Linked DNA regions of Struthio camelus. The protein of the gene in region 1 binds, or shares a complex with, the protein of each later gene. Links are inferred from orthologs where the notes say so. Each region holds a gene or a part of one and is shown in the gene's direction. Other genes may lie near its edges.

Region 1 (7,311 bases):
AGTCCACCTGCTTTTAAAGTTCACAACAAGAGTATGCTACTCACCATTCCAGCATTGCACTTAAGGGTACACAGTGAAGACAATTGCATGAAAGAGCAAAAAGAGTCAACAAGGAGATATTTCAGTGACTACTTCAATTTACAAAGTAGAGTTCACTATTTTCCCTAAATGCATACTGCCTTTCAAATATAAGAATCACTTAACAAACTAACTTCCATGCATCCCAGTTTTTTAAATTATCATCTAGTGTCATATATACATAGAACGCTACTCTCTCAGAGCAACGACAAGCCTCCAGACAAATGGCTGCATCCCTTCAGAAAAAAAGCCCAAGACCTTGATGACAAGTATCTGAGAATATTCCTTGGACAAAACTCTTGCTCAATAACAAGTGTCATGACACACTAATGAATGAAGATTTCTGATGCACAGTTATCTGTTGATCACAGTAACTAATCGCTCCTCCTGAGCTTACAAAACAAGTCGGAGAAGCCCCAGTTTTTTAACTGATTCTATGTTGCTTCTAGGTCAGCACTGTATAAACACAAACTGAAGACAACTGCCTGTTTGATAACTGCAATGAAGATCATCAGCTCTCCGCATCTTTATAATCGATCTTCTCAACAGATATGGTAGCAGTGCCAACAAGCAAGGAGAGAACTCAAGGGCAGAATTTTTGTACAGAACCTTCGTTTCTTGGAAAATCAAATCCGCTGGCCTGCTATTTCATGATGTATGAAACCTGTAGCATTTCTGAATTTTGCAACTCTGTATTCCTATCCCAATTTTTACCCAGCATTCAGAACCAGATATCCTCAGTACTTCTTAGGTGGTAAACGTCAAGTCCTCCACGACGGCCCACGGATACAGAATACAAATTGCAGTGCTCAAACAAGACACACCGATTCAAGATCATAACGTGATATTTAAGAAGTCCATAAACAAAAATACCAAAAATACAAGTTCGGATAATAGGCTTTAACTAGCTGTGCATTAAGCAACGAAGAAGCGAAAGCCAACACAGACAACCAGTGCAACTGTTTAAATGAATGACCTAAAAGTGACTTTTAGGATGAAAATATCTCACAAGACAAAAACCAGATCATCAACTGAGCAAGGCCTTCAAAGAACAAGTGTTTAGATAATAAACAGATGGCCTCATGCCAACACTTTAAAAGCACAGAAAAGTGCACACTAATGCTTTAGGAAATTCTGTATTTAAGCTGAGCTAACTAGAAAGTCGTACTGTGCCTGCCTACACTTCCACAGCCTTTGCAGAGCACATTGCAAATGCTATTAAAACTTCATACCACCTCACTGAAAAAAAAAAGCCTTCAAATATTTCATGAAAATAGGACTGCACTAGACTAGCACTTTTACTACCGGATAGAAAGATTACACAATCTGTATGCAATGAAGCCAACAGGAACACCCACAGAAATACCAGAAGCATAAAACTGAATTTTGATGAATATGTGAGTTAAGAATATGCTGGGTCAGGGAAGGATTGTTTATTCTAATCTTCTCCAAAACAAGCCTCAATAGTCAAAGTAAGTCACTGGGAGTGAAAGCCTCCAACACCGCTGAAGGCAGACGGGAGGGTGCCCTGCAGCTGGGCGGCCGCAGGGCCGGTTCCGAGCGCTGCTCCTCGGCGAGAGGCCGCTGGGAAGCCCCGGAGCAGCGGCGCGGCCGGCCGCACCGGCGGAAACGCGCCCCGCCGCCGAGCGGGCGAGGCCGAGGCGCGGGGAGCGGCGGAGAGGCCGCCTGTGACCCGACTCCGCGCAGAACGAGCGCGGCCTCCCCGCGGCACCGGGATGGGGGCACTAGGGAGCGAAGGGCGAAAGCCGCCAGCCGGGACGAGGGGCCTCAGCGCGGGCAACCGCCGCGCAGCCGCTCCGCCGGCGCGCACCCCGCGCCCTCGGCTACGCAGAGCCCTAGGGAAGCCAGGCGCCCTCCCGCGCGCCATCCACCCACCGGACACGCCGCCGGGACAGGCTCAGCACCGAGCCCCGCAGCTCCCAGCGCAGCACCGCCAAGATGGCGTCCTCCTTCTTCCCCCCGCAACAAGCAGGCCGGGGCCGAACTGCGCCTGCGCGACCCCCTCCCCTCCGACCCTACGGCTGAACTTGCACGAATCCTTCCGGGCCCCGCCGGCCGCGCGGCGCGGCGCGGCGCCGAGCGCCACCCTGCGCTCGTGCGCATGCTCGGCGCGCACGCGGTTTCCCCCCTCTCCGAACCGCCTCCGGGAGGCGGGGCCGGGAACGCCCTGTCCCTACCGCGCTTTCCGCTGCGCATGCGCTGTCTGGCTCCCCGCTCGTTTCAGTACGCATGCGCTCTGCGTAGGCGCGCCGCTGACGCGTGCAGCGTCGCGTGGTCACGGCGGCGGGATGTGCGGGGGCCGCTTTGCGAGCAGTGCGCATGCGCCGCCGGGGCGCCCCGCGGGACAGCGTTGGCGGCGCGCGCCGCCGAGGAGAACGGTGTCGTCCGCGCCGCGGTGACAGCGGGCGGTGGCGGCTGCGCTGATCGCTAGGGTTACGGCTGTTTGCAGCGACCTTCAGCCTCTCGCTTCCGTCAGTTCCGGCGCCTGCCCGGTTCAGGAAAAGGGGCGAGGGGGAAGTCCCTGCGAGGGCTGTGGGCCCCGAGGCTGAGAGCCGCTGGGAGCCGCCTCAGGCCTGGGCCTGGGCCTGCGGGCGCCTCTGGCACCGGAGAGGGGGTGTTGCACCCTGTGCTTCTGTTCCTAGGCGGTTCCCAAAGCTCAGGGGCCAATTGTTAGAAAAACAGTTTCCAACCTAAACTTTCTCGAGGTTGGCTCCAAGCGTGCGTTGGGAGAAATGGGAGGAAGGGAGAAGTAAGTAAGGGGTAAGACTGTCCATGCAGAAGGGGAGAGGCAGGCTACTTTCATCATTAAGGTTAGATAGTATTTTATCCATGCAGTGTTCATCTCACCTCCCTTTCCCTGTGTTTTAGACGTATTCCCTTATATTTCTAGACAGCAGTTCTATTGCTAGTCAGCTCCATTCTGATAGACTAAAAAAGCTTGGGGTAGATTCACACCCCCCCCCCCTTGGTCATCCTGGTAGCCCTTATCTGTCTTTTCTGGGATCGATCTCTATCTGGAGCCTAGGAAGTAGAATATGAGAAAGTGCTTCTGATGGAGTCTTCCGCAGAGCCACATCCAAAGCACGCTTCTCTCTTCTCTGTGTCTTTTGGAAACACGTTTCCTGATTTAACAATACAATTACATAGCACTGGTGGTTTGGTTACACCATGAGTAACTAATAAAATGAGGTCCTTCTGTCCTTTCAAACTGAGTTTGGGGAATTGCATTCCATTATATCTTAGAAAATAGCTAGAAAGTAACTGACATGAGGCTGACCAGAAGTTGTGAAGCTGCCTTCTCTTGGCATCCAGAAGCTTGCTGGTTATCACAGTATTAACGATTTATGAAATCCCTCTTCACATGATATAGCTTAGAAGCAGTGGTTGGAAATCTCACAAAAATAGGGTTAAGATTCTTGAGAAATAATTTTACTGCAGGTATAAATGCTATTTTCTCTGGAAATAATGCTTATAACCCCACTTTCCTAGCTTCACTGCCTGGGTGCTTGGCACAGAGGGAGCTGCTGTCTTCTCCTTGACTGGAGATGTTTAAAAAAAGAACATACAACATAGGAATTATCTGCGATAGCTGTTCGCTATCTCTAGGAGAGATGTTATGAACAGGAACTGAAGCATAAAAAGTTTAAGCATAATCACCCAGTATCTCAGCCTTTAAAAAATTCCATCAACGCAGCAATACAAATCTGATTAGGAATGAAGCATTTGGTGCGATAAGCATATATGCTTCCAAGCAGCACTATTATACGGACTCAAAATAGTTATGCGGTTATCATTCAGTAAAGAGATAGTGAGGAATAATGAAAACCGAGGACGCTCGAGTACCCAGAAAAGTTTTGGTGATGCTTGGGGGAAAGTGAATAAGAGCAAGTGAAAAAAGGGGTAACTTTGGCTTTGTGTGCGTTCATCTGGGCATTCTGTATGATCGCTCTGCTACCCGTCTCCTTAAAAACGAAAACCACACGTTTGCACCACCTGACGCTGCTCTGCCGCACCGCCGATGCCCTGCCGCCCTCCCCGCTCCCCGGCGGAGGCACGTCCGGCGCAGGCGCGCCCTCTCCCCCGTGAACGCTTCGCCTCCGCGGTTGGGCCCTTCGGGCGCTCCGTACCAGAGGCGATTGGCCAGTGAGAGCGCGCGGCTGCAGCTGCTGGGTAGCCATGGCGACGGCGCGGTGGTGGGGCGCCGCCGCGCTGCTGCTCTCGCTGGCCGCGGGGCTCCCGCCGGGCCGCGGCTTCTCCTTCCCGCTGCGGCGGCCCGGCGGCTGCGGCGACGCCCGTTACTTCGACATCTCCCGCCTGGCCTGCGGGCCGTGTGGGCCCCACCAGAGGCCGAGCGCCGACGGTGAGCGATCCGCGCCGCAGGGGGGCGGGCGAGCGGGGCTCCTCGCGGCTGGAGGTGCCAAATCTGGGCTCAGATTTGGGCTGCTTTAGTTTGCAAAACGATTGTTCTCAGGTACGAGTCTGAAAAGCAGTGGAAAGGGTCAGACCTTCCAAAAGGCATAGGTGTCCGTAGCACAGATACGATATCTGTATTCTGTTATATATCCAAGAGCAATATATGTACACCTTTTCTCTAATCTTTCTTTCCTTAGGCATTTCTGTTGTTACAAATGCCCACTTTTTTATCAGTAAAATTCTATAGGTCCCTAAATTTCTCTTCTTGAGAGCTTCCAAAACTTGAAGCTTCTTGTCAAAACTCACATGTCTGAGAACTTAAATATCTGAGACTTTCAGGCTGTGCACAGATTAATCCGAGTCCCATGTGGGAATGTGGAGGATGCTACACGTATTGACAGTACTAAGTGAAAAATGTACTAAGTGAGCAATGTTCGCTTTCTTTAAGAGACATGAGTGTATGATAGTGTTCCGCTTTTATGAATACTCAGTTTTGGAAAAGTGGTAGTTTCAGTGGTGTATGTACATTAACAAATCAAACTAAGACCCAACAGCTTATTTCTTTGGAGCTGGTCCCTCGATTAAACGCAGTCATCTGGACAGCTGCGCTCCCTTATGTGAGGTTCTGGCCAATGAACTGTTGCATGCTCTGCTTCCTACGGCGTAGCTACAGCAAGAACGATGGGTTGTCCCTTGCCTTTGTCCCCACGCTGTGGGATACTCTTGGCTTGAGACTGTTGCATAAAAAAAGATGGTCACCTGTCCCACCACCTTTAATGATATCTTAAGATATCCATAAGAAACATACTGTAGCGGTTTTCAGTTGCATTGATCATATAGTTATCTAAATCCGTAAGTCCTTTAGGCTTGAATTTTCCTCTAACATCACTGTTCTGCTCGGGGCTTCAAGGAAACATATAAATTCCAAGGCTCAAGGATTCCATGAGCTCAAGGATTTAGACTTCTCCACAGCATCTTCTTAGAGCAGTTTAGGTTTAGATTATAAAACCTCACCAAATTTTATGTGAATGTTTACATGCACGTTTCTATGACCTTAAATAATAATAAACACACACTATAAAACAGAATTGACTCTAAGTACTAATAAAATGTCTTCGAACTTACAGAGAGGGATCCACAATATCTTGAGAGTAAAAAGTTACTGGAAAAAAATGCTATTGAGTGTAACAAGCGTCTGCTGTGGTGTGCCATGGTAATTGTGTTTACTTTAATAATAAACATTAGGTACGCTCTGTTACTCATTGGAAACTGATCCGGATGCACAGTTTTAAAAGCTTTGAATTTAAAATAGCTTTACAAACTACATTTATATTTTTGAAAAAATCTTCGCATATAAAGGTTATGTTTTGTTTTTCAGAGTGATTTCCTATTCGAAGGATTAAAAACTGAATACAGACATATGATGCTAATACTGTTGTCCAGAGGATGGGCTAAGTGAGTCAAGATTTGTACCAGTTATTAGATCAACTGGTATAGCTGAAGGAAGAACGCAAAGACACACACCTAGTATAGTTTTTCTCCCACTGTATCAGTCAACCTAATCTGATTTTCCCAAAACCTTTTCCTACAGTCTGTAACATCTACTTTTTTTAAAAAACAAGGCGATTTTCATGCACATGACACTCAAGTGTTTTATTTGTGTACCTAAGAAACTAAACTGATCTCTTAAGAAAAATAACAGCTCTATTATGTGGAAAAAACAGTTTTGATTTATGTAGTTTAAAAGGGAATTATTTTTTTCCAGGTCATTCATGTGTATGTCAGCCAGGATTCAGGATGGTTTCTAATAATGGTGGGCCCTCTGTTATTTGTGAAAAATGCCCGGAAAGTATGGTAAGCATTGAACTTTTCATAGTCTGCCATAATAATGCTTTTTTAAGTCTGGAACTTCCATCTAACTGCAAGTTATTTTTCTTTAATTTTAGATTATTTTGAAAATCAGTGAATTTTTAACCTTAAGACCATGTAGTATTTATTTTCCTCTTTAAAACTGTTTATTATTATTAATTTGCAGGGACCTTTTAATTATAAAATTGTGTTTTTAGGCAAAGTAAGAGTATTTTAAATGTTTAATTTCCTTCTGCTCCTTTTCTCTTCTGCTTCATGTTGTGTTACTCTTACCCTGAGACCACTTCTTTATAGAAAGCCAAAGATGAGTTTCAGTTTTTTAGTTTGTTTGTTTGTTTTTTTCCTTATCTTATTTGGTTATTTATATAAATCCTATTTTTGTAATATTTGGGCTGTATCTTCGTACCCTGTCATTTATCTTTTCACTTTAAAAGCAGCAGCTCATTTTGCGTTATTTTAGTTACACATACCTTTGTGATTTGCTCTGTTCTTTCTGCCTGTCTCGACAAAGTAAACTTAGTTTTCTCAGTATTCACAGCAGTGAGCCACAGGCACCAGACTTAACCAGCTTTCTCCCGCTATAGTAAATAGAGAAATAATATTTCTCTACCAAAAACAACTCTTGAAAGTAAGAGCCTTCCAAAGTACTTCTTTCTCTCCAGTAAGAAAAACTCTCAAGAGATCGACTTGAGCTGGGTTAGTGAGATGCTTAATGGCTGACTGGGTAACGTAACTAATCTCCTCCCTCTTTTCATCATCTTGTTGCTACTTTAGAAAGACTTTGAGGGATATCCGTTGGTGTTTTGATCTTTCTGCTATTTCTTTTTTTCCTATAATGCTGGCATTATCATTATTATTAATCATTCTGATCCTAAGACAAAGCTCATGCAAAGACAAAAAGGTGACAAGGGAGAAGGGATTAACATCTGT
Region 2 (7,958 bases), on another chromosome or scaffold:
CTGTCCTTTTTCTTTTCTTTTTTTTCCCTTTTTTAACTGAAATGCAGGTTAAATGTTGCAATAATCTGAACTAACGTGCACAAACAAGGTTTCTTGTGTTACCAAAAAAAAAAAAAAAAGATTAAAAAAAGGAGAAAAATTACAGAGCGGTAAAAAACAAAACAAATAAATAGTAAATTATTTAAGAAATGTATTTTGTCTACTACAGTTCAAAGTAAATTATTGATACACTATGTAAAGGTATGAAGCGCTGTCTTAGGTGATGTTCTTTGTGAGCATTGAAGCTAGTGGCTTGTTCTCCTCGGAGCGTAACGCCTTCGAAAACTAGGCGGCCCCAGGCACCGTCTCATCCGCGGCCTCTCCGTTCATCGTCCCTGCGCGCACGCCTGCGCCCGGCCGCGGCCGCGCCGCCTTCCCGACGGCCCCCGCGGCCGCGCCGGCCTGAGCAGCCGCTCGAGCAATTCAGGTCACCTGTCCACACCGCTCCTTCTCTTTTTGTTTTTTTTTCTTTTTTTGTTTTTTGGGGGTTTTTTGGTTTTTTTTTCTTTCTTTTTTTTTTCTTTCTTCCTTGCTTTTGGGGTTTATTTGCGCTCTCGCACCTCCTTCCCCCGGCCCGCTCGTCATCCCGGCTCCGCCGCGGAAAGCTGCTGCCCGGTGCGAGCGGCCGCCCCGCCAGCCCGCCCCGCGGAAGAGACAGAAACAAAACACAAAACGCACGCAAAAAAAAAAAAAAAGAAAAAAACCTTTTTTTTTTTTCCCCCAAATCGTTTTGGTTTGGTTCCTTCCATGCCGCCTCATATTTATGCATTCACATATATCTTCTGTTATTTATGCCTTCAGTACTCAAAAGGAAATGTATCTCGTTTCACATGTATTAAACTGTATAAACTGGAAGCGTGGCTTGACTTTCTGGCGCGGCGCGAGCTACCGCTGGCACCCCGAGCCCTGGTGGCAGCGGCGGCACCCTGAGCCCCGGCGGCAGCGGCACCCCGAGCCCTGGTGGCAGCGGCGGCACCCTGAGCCCCGGCGGCAGCGGCACCCCGAGTCCTGGTGGCAGCGGCGGCACCCTGAGCCCCAGCGGCAGCGGCACCCTGAGCCCTGGTGGCGGCGGCACCCCGAGCCCCGGCAGCAGCAGCGCAGCACCCTGAGCCCTGGCAGCGGCGGCACCCCGAGCCCCGGCGGCAGCAGCACCCCGAGCCTTGGTGGCGGCGGCAGCACCCTGAGCCCCGGCAGCAGCAGCAGCGGCACCCCGAGCCCTGGCGGGGTCCCGCAGCAGCTCCCACCCGGGCCGGCGGCGAGGCAGCCGCCGTGTGCTCAGCGGCCTGCTCAGCACCCTGCCTTGGGGCACGCAGTGGCCGCCGGCGGCGGGGGGAGGCCTCGCCGCGCCGCTGCTCCGCGCCGTAGCTCCTTAGCCGTGCTGCGTCCGCCCTGGCCCCCGTGCCCTCGCCCGCGCCCCGAAGCCTGTGTGCGGCGGGAACCGCTGCTGTTAGAAGGTTTTGGCTGCAAAGGGGAAAACTTGGTCTTTATGAGGCTTTCAAAAAAAAAAAAAAAATCCTAAATCGGCCCGTTTTACCGCCAAGCAGGAGGAGTGGGACGGACAAGGCGTTTCCGAAGCGCTGCTGTCCCCTCCGCGTGCCCAGCTGGCCCTGGGGGCCGCTCGCAGGCGGCCCTGTCCCCGCGCCCTCCTCCCGGAGGAGCCGCACGCGGCAACACCTCCCTGCGCAGCCTAACGAGCCCGGGGCAAACGACGCCGGCGCCCGGCGCCAGCCCTCGGCCAGGCAGCGCGCGCCCTCACCGGTGGCCGGTGCATCATCCCTGTGGATTATTTTCCTTTTTTTTTTGTTTTATTAATTCACAGTTTATTGGCTGCAAAGCCCCACTCTGCTTTCCGGAGAAAAGCTGAGGATGTGGAGGAGCGTCTCGCCCGACGTGACTGTCTTCCCCGCACGTCGGGCCCGGGGAGCGGGCTGGCGCCTGCTGTGCACACGCTGGGGCGGCCACGGCGTGCCGGGAGCCGCCGCGGCCTCGGGACCCTCCCGGCCGCGGCCGCTGGCGGGCGCAGCTGTGGGAACCGGCCTCCTCCCGCCGCGCCGGCTCCCGGGGGGCTGGGGGGGGACTGAGCTAGCTCGAAGGACACAGACGCGAGCGTGGGAAACAAGCCGCGTCTTCGCCTTTGACCGCCAGCATCCTCTGGGAGCTGCAACTGCGGAGCCGTGCGCGCTGCAGCCGCCAGGCCACCGCCGGCCCGGCCCGTGCAGAGGCGGCCGGCCGGCTCCGCGCGGCCCCTCGCCCCCGAAACGTGCCGCGGGCTCGCTCGCCGACGGAGCGCGCCAGCCCCAGACCGGGCTGCTGGCTGCGGGCGGGCGCGAAGCGTTTTCGCTCCTGTCCTAGATGCGGCGGTGAACTAGGGTTACGGCATCAGGGACTCGGCACGGGGGCGATATCCCGGCAGTTCTGGCTCGCAGAGATGTCGGTTTTCTGCCCGGCCCTGGCACCGTGGCGGTTTCCTAAGGGCAGCCGAGCTCCGGGCGGGAGGTTTCAGCACGGGCCCCGTTACGTCGGCCGCGGCATCGCTATTGGCAGGCGGCAGAGAGGGGTGCAAGGGGCTGGCGTCGCTGCCCGAGTGCCGCCCGCTGCTTTTAGCATTTCGGTGCATTTCTGCAAAAAATGGAAGGTTCCCAGCTGGTCACAACCCACCAAATGGTGCACCGAAGCCTGAGCCCGGACGTCGCCAGCCCCAGCCCTGCTTTCGCCATTGCACAGATGAGCGGGGCCAGGAGGGAGCTGCTGCGCCTGATTCACCGGCTCGACGCCCCGGGGAGGGTCGCAGGGCCGTCGGGGGCTCCGGGCAGCAGAGCATCGGCCAAGGCTGGCGCGGGAGGACGAAGCAGCGATTTGAGCGCGGGGCCCGGGAGGCGGCGACGGTGCCGCGAGCGCCGGGCTCTGGCCGCTCGGTGTCTGCGCCGAGCCGGGTCAGGCAGCGCCAGGGCGGGAGGGATGCTTGAAAACACCCGAAATAAGGAACTAACGAATGCTCTGGCCTCAGCGAGGCCGCTGCGCCGGCAGGAGGGCGGCCAGGGGTTTGCGTGCAGCCCCGGCAGCGCCTCCGGCGCCGGCTGCTCTGCCCTCGCTGTAACCTGGCCCTTTTTTAATCGTGGCCGTGGTGGTTTCCTTGAGAGAACCGTTCTTCAAAGCCTACCCAAGGTCTTTCCCGTAACAAACTTTTCCTCCTCTTTCAGGGATGCCCGTTCCCCAAATCTGAATCCATCCCAGGTGCAGTTCGACACAACCTTTAACCTGTCATCGTTGCGCGACCATGCAGGTGGCATGAATACTAATAAGCACTTGATATTTGTACGAGCTTTCACAGGATGAGTAATTAAATTGACTTTATCCATTAAACCTTCACTATTAAGCTTTAAGTACACGGCTGTACCTCGATGGCTGGGCCCTGTCTGCTCCTTTATGGGGGCGGCCGGGGGGGGGGGGGTCTTCATTAGACATTTGTGCGCATCCCGCCAGGGCCTCATTCAGCACGCTCTGCGCGGCTGCAATCTCCCTCTCAGGGCTTTTTTCCAGCAGCTCGACAGGTCTCTCCGTTGCAATCCCGCCGCGGCCCAGGAATAACTTCATTGCTCGTCGTTCCTTACGCCCGTACCGAACCCGATCGCCCCGCCGGCTTCCCCAGGCTTCCTCACCCTCTCCTGCCCGCGTGTGAGTTATTCTACCTGGCACTAATTAATTTTCCTCATTCAGCAAAATAAATAAATACATCTCACGGACGGTAACACGTTGCCATACGAGTTAATTCTTCGTGCAAGACCGGGCGCTGCGCGGCTCGCCGGCCGGAGCGCCAAGGGCAGGCGGCCAGCGCCCACCTGCTAATTACCCGGCCTAATGAAGGGGGAAGTGCTGGGTCCCCCCCCCCCCCCCCCAGCGAAAGAAATCTCGGGGCAAGTATATTTTAGCAAGAATTTGAGCAGTAGTCCGTGCGCTCCGGCCATCGGTCGGGGGGCGGCGGGCGGCAAGAGCAGCAGGAGGCGCCTGAAGGGCAGGACGCTGGCCGCACCTCGAGGAGAAGCAGGCGGCGATGGCTCAGACCGGCCTCCTTGTGCAAACAGCCTGAAAACAAAGCCGTTGGGTGGTTTTTGTTTTTTATTGCGGATTAACGACACCATAAAACGTATCTCCCTGGCCGTTTGAGCAGGGCTTGATCGTAAATATTTGGGATTTAAAAATAAATAAATAAATAAAACGTTGCCGCTGGGCCGAGCGCCCGCGGGCGGCACCGAACCAGCCCCCGGGGTGGCGTTGCCGGTACCGGAGAAGGCGGCAGTGACAAAGTACCGGCTTTCGGGGGCCTGGCCGGCCGGCGCAGCGCGCCCGCGTGGGGGCAACGGCCAGCAGCAGCCCCCCGCGCCCGGAGGAGCCCAGAGGCAGGGTGAGGGGCGCCGGCCGCAGCCCCCACGGCCCTTTCCGGGCTCAGGCCGCCGCCGCGCGGGCCGGGCCGGGGGTGAAAACATCCCCGCGTCGGCCCGGAGCGAGGGCGGCGGTAGCTGGTCACTCGGCGGCCCGGGGCGGCTGGTCAGGGGCCGCTTTATTTTCGCCTCCTGATATTTTTCCCTTGGAAAGAGCGGGTTTTTTGTTTTTTTTTTTTTTTTTTTCTGGGGGGCAGGGGCCAAAGGGTGGGATTTCTGCCCCCCCCTCCGCCCCAACCCCGATCTGGTCTGGTTTGCTGAATGCCAAAAAAGCAAAAAGCAGGGCGGGGGGGGAACAAACCAAAGAAATCTCAAATTAAACAAAAATAAAGGAAACCCTCCCGGCGCGAGGCCGCCCCTAGCGGCCGCCGCGGGGCTCCAACCGGGCTGGAAAATATGAGCATAAACCACATAAATCTAGAGAAACTCGACGAATCGCACGGCGAGGGCCGGGGGGGGGGGGGGGGGGCGCTGCGGCCTCCCCGCCCCCCGGGCCACGGGTGTGATGAGAGCGGCAGGCCTCAGCCGGGCTCTCTCGGCAGGGCGGGGAAGGGCAGGGGGTAGCCTGCCTTTCGGGGGGCTGAATTTGGGCGGTGGGCAGCGCCGTTAAGCGGCGAGCCACGGCCGGGCCTCCCTCCCCCTCCTCCTCCTCCTCCTCCTCCTCCTCCTCCTCCTCCTCCCCCCCCCCCCAGCGGCGGCCCCGCGAAGCGCCGCCCGCCGAGGAAGCGTGTCCCCAGCGCCGCGCCGTCCGCGGTATCCAGGGCGACGGCGGCGGCGCGCGCGCCCCCCCAGCAACGAGCCAGGCCGCGCTCGGCGCCATGGCGGCCGCCGCCGGCAGCGGCAGCAGCAGCAGCAGCCCCGACGTCTTCCTGGTGGCCGTCAGCGGGCAGATCGAGAGCGGGCAGGTGAGCGGGACTGGCCGGGGGGTCGCGATGGGCTTGTGGGGCGTGGGCAGCGCGGACCGGTCTCGGCACCGGCGGCGCGGCCTAGCCCCCGGCCCCGGTAAGGCAGGCCCGGCCCCGGGCTCGGTGCCGGCTGAGGGCCCAGGCCCGGCCCTGGCCGCTGTCCTGGCACCGTGGCCTGGCTTTGGCCCGCCCCGGCCCGGCAACGCAGCCCGGCCTCAGCCCTCGTCCCGCTAACGTGGGTTGGCGCTCGGTTCCCATAACGCAGCCCGGCCTCAGCCCTCGTCCTGCAAACGTGGGTTGGCGCTCGGTTCCCATAACGCAGCCCGGCCTCAGCCCTCGTCCCGCTAACGTGTGTTGGCGCTCGGTTCGCATAACGCAGCCTGGCCTCAGCCCTCGTCCTGCAAACGTGGGTTGGCGCTCGGTTCCCATAACGCAGCCCGGCCTCAGCCCTCGTCCCGCTAACGTGTGTTGGCGCTCGGTTCCCATAACGCAGCCCGGCCTCAGCCCTCGTCCCGCTAACGTGTGTTGGCGCTCGGTTCCCATAACGCAGCCCGGCCTCAGCCCTCGTCCCGCTAACGTGGGTTGGCGCTCGGTTCCCATAACGCAGCCCGGCCTCAGCCCTCGTCCTGCAAACGTGTGTTGGCGCTCGGTTCCCATAACGCAGCCCGGCCTCAGCCCTCGTCCTGCAAACGTGTGTTGGCGCTCGGTTCCCATAACGCAGCCCGGCCTCAGCCCTCGTCCCGCTAACGTGTGTTGGCGCTCGGTTCGCATAACGCAGCCTGGCCTCAGCCCTCGTCCTGCAAACGTGGGTTGGCGCTCGGTTCCCATAACGCAGCCCGGCCTCAGCCCTCGTCCCGCAAAAGTGTGTTGGCGCTCGGTTCGCATAACGCAGCCCGGCCTCAGCCCTCGTCCTGCAAACGTGTGTTGGCGCTCGGTTCCCATAACGCAGCCCGGCCTCAGCCCCGGCCCCGGCCCTGGTAGCTGGGCTTGGTCTGAGCCTGAGGACCTTGGCTTCGTGGAGTGGACTGGCCGCAGTGCTGGTACCGCGGCCTGCTCTCGGCCCCGCTGGCGCCGGCTCCCTCAGCCTCGTAACACAGGCTGGCCCTCGGTCCCGCTAATGTAGCTCGGCCCCAACCCTAGCCCCAGTAACGCAGCCTTTCTCTCTCCCGCAGTTCCCCGAGTTTGATGACCTCTACTGCAAGTTCTGCTTCGTTTACGGCCAGGACTGGGTTCCGACTGCTGTAAGAGCCTTTTACGTCCCCTTGAAACGCGGGCTGCGTTGCTGGCCTGTGTAAAACGGGCCCGGCAGGGGTCCTTGGCTCATGCCACGCTCTCCCTGCAGGGCCTGGAGGAGGGCATCTCCCAGATCACCTCCAAGAGCGATGCCGCAAACTCTACACTCGTCTGGAACTTCCCCATCGACATTACCTTCAAGAGCACAAACCCATCCGGCTGTGAGTGCCCAGGGGTGGTGGGGCCCATCTCGCAGACCAGGCAACCTGCTGACTTCCATTTCTTTTGCAGGGCCACAGATTGTAGTAAGCGTCTATGGACCTGATTTTTTTGGAAACGATGTGGTCAGAGGCTATGGAGCTGTTCATGTTCCCATTATACCTGGAAGGTGAGGTGATGACCTACTCATCTTTCAGGATCAAAATGGAATTTATTTCTAAGTATCTGTGCTGTTTCAGAGCCAAAAATGTCCCCTTATCTCCTTGTCACGTCATCAGAGTGGTATGAACAGCATAGATCTTCTAGTAGAAGCCCCTGGTTATCAGATGATTTTTGGTAATCCTGCAGGCAATTCCGTAAAGTCAAAACTAGTATGAAGAAAGTCCAAGTATGAAGTGCAGTATGTCAGTTCTTCTTCCCCAGCACTCTCAGCAGGCGCTAAGCTTTCATTTCTGCCACTGGAAGTAGAGTAAGTTACTATGCTCTTCTGTATTTATATCTCTGGGACTCCTAGGATGCAGCAGCATGTATGGCACTCTGAAGTGACTTGTTTGCTCTGTGCTAGCTTTCTTATGCAAGCAAGCCCTTCCTCTGTGGATGGGAAAGTATTTTTACTCTGAGATGTTCAGTGATATAATGTATCTGAAATTCTGGCCTCTTTAATAAAAATAAGGAGGCTTGCCATTGCTGTTTGGTTCATTTCTTAATTTCTGTGCCTTTCATGTTTGTTTTAGGCACATAAGAACTATTCCTATGTTTGTTCCGGAGTCTACATCTAGGCTGCAGAAGTTTACAAGGTAATAATTAAAGACTTTGTGAGTAAGACTAAGAAGAACTTCTTAAAAAAAAAAAAAAAAAAGTATCTCCAGCTACTCACTTGTGCATACGTACACGTATTTTGTATCATAAACAGATAGTTTTGAGTTTTATGGGTGAAGCTAAAGTTGAGGAACTAAGTGAGGTGAAGCTAAAGTGTCCTTCAGAGAGCTTTCATAAAACCTGTTAACTATTTGCTTGGAGTAATGCTGTCTAACTTGCCTTTTTTGTCATCCTTGGATTTGAACAAGGTTTGTTTGAGAAAGAGTTGCTAATTTTAACAGACTCATCTCTGAACTCTTGCACT

What was found. Proteins that work in one complex are often made in the same cells at the same time.
Region 2: TMEM67 (region 1) and B9D1 share a complex: the UniProt entries of both Homo sapiens proteins name them as parts of the tectonic-like complex. The link is inferred for Struthio camelus from reciprocal best matches to the Homo sapiens genes TMEM67 and B9D1.

Annotation. Positions count from the first base shown.
Region 1 is NC_090943.1:149,423,143-149,430,453, reverse strand, and holds the start of TMEM67 (meckelin), read left to right. Parts: upstream 1-4,230; 5' UTR 4,231-4,275; coding exon 4,276-4,459; intron 4,460-6,277; coding exon 6,278-6,366; intron 6,367-7,311. UniProt on the Homo sapiens protein: Required for ciliary structure and function. Part of the tectonic-like complex which is required for tissue-specific ciliogenesis and may regulate ciliary membrane composition.
Region 2 is NC_090956.1:3,416,623-3,424,580, forward strand, and holds the start of B9D1 (B9 domain-containing protein 1), read left to right. Parts: upstream 1-4,941; 5' UTR 4,942-5,296; coding exon 5,297-5,383; intron 5,384-6,555; coding exon 6,556-6,624; intron 6,625-6,725; coding exon 6,726-6,837; intron 6,838-6,907; coding exon 6,908-7,004; intron 7,005-7,569; coding exon 7,570-7,632; intron 7,633-7,958. UniProt on the Homo sapiens protein: Component of the tectonic-like complex, a complex localized at the transition zone of primary cilia and acting as a barrier that prevents diffusion of transmembrane proteins between the cilia and plasma membranes.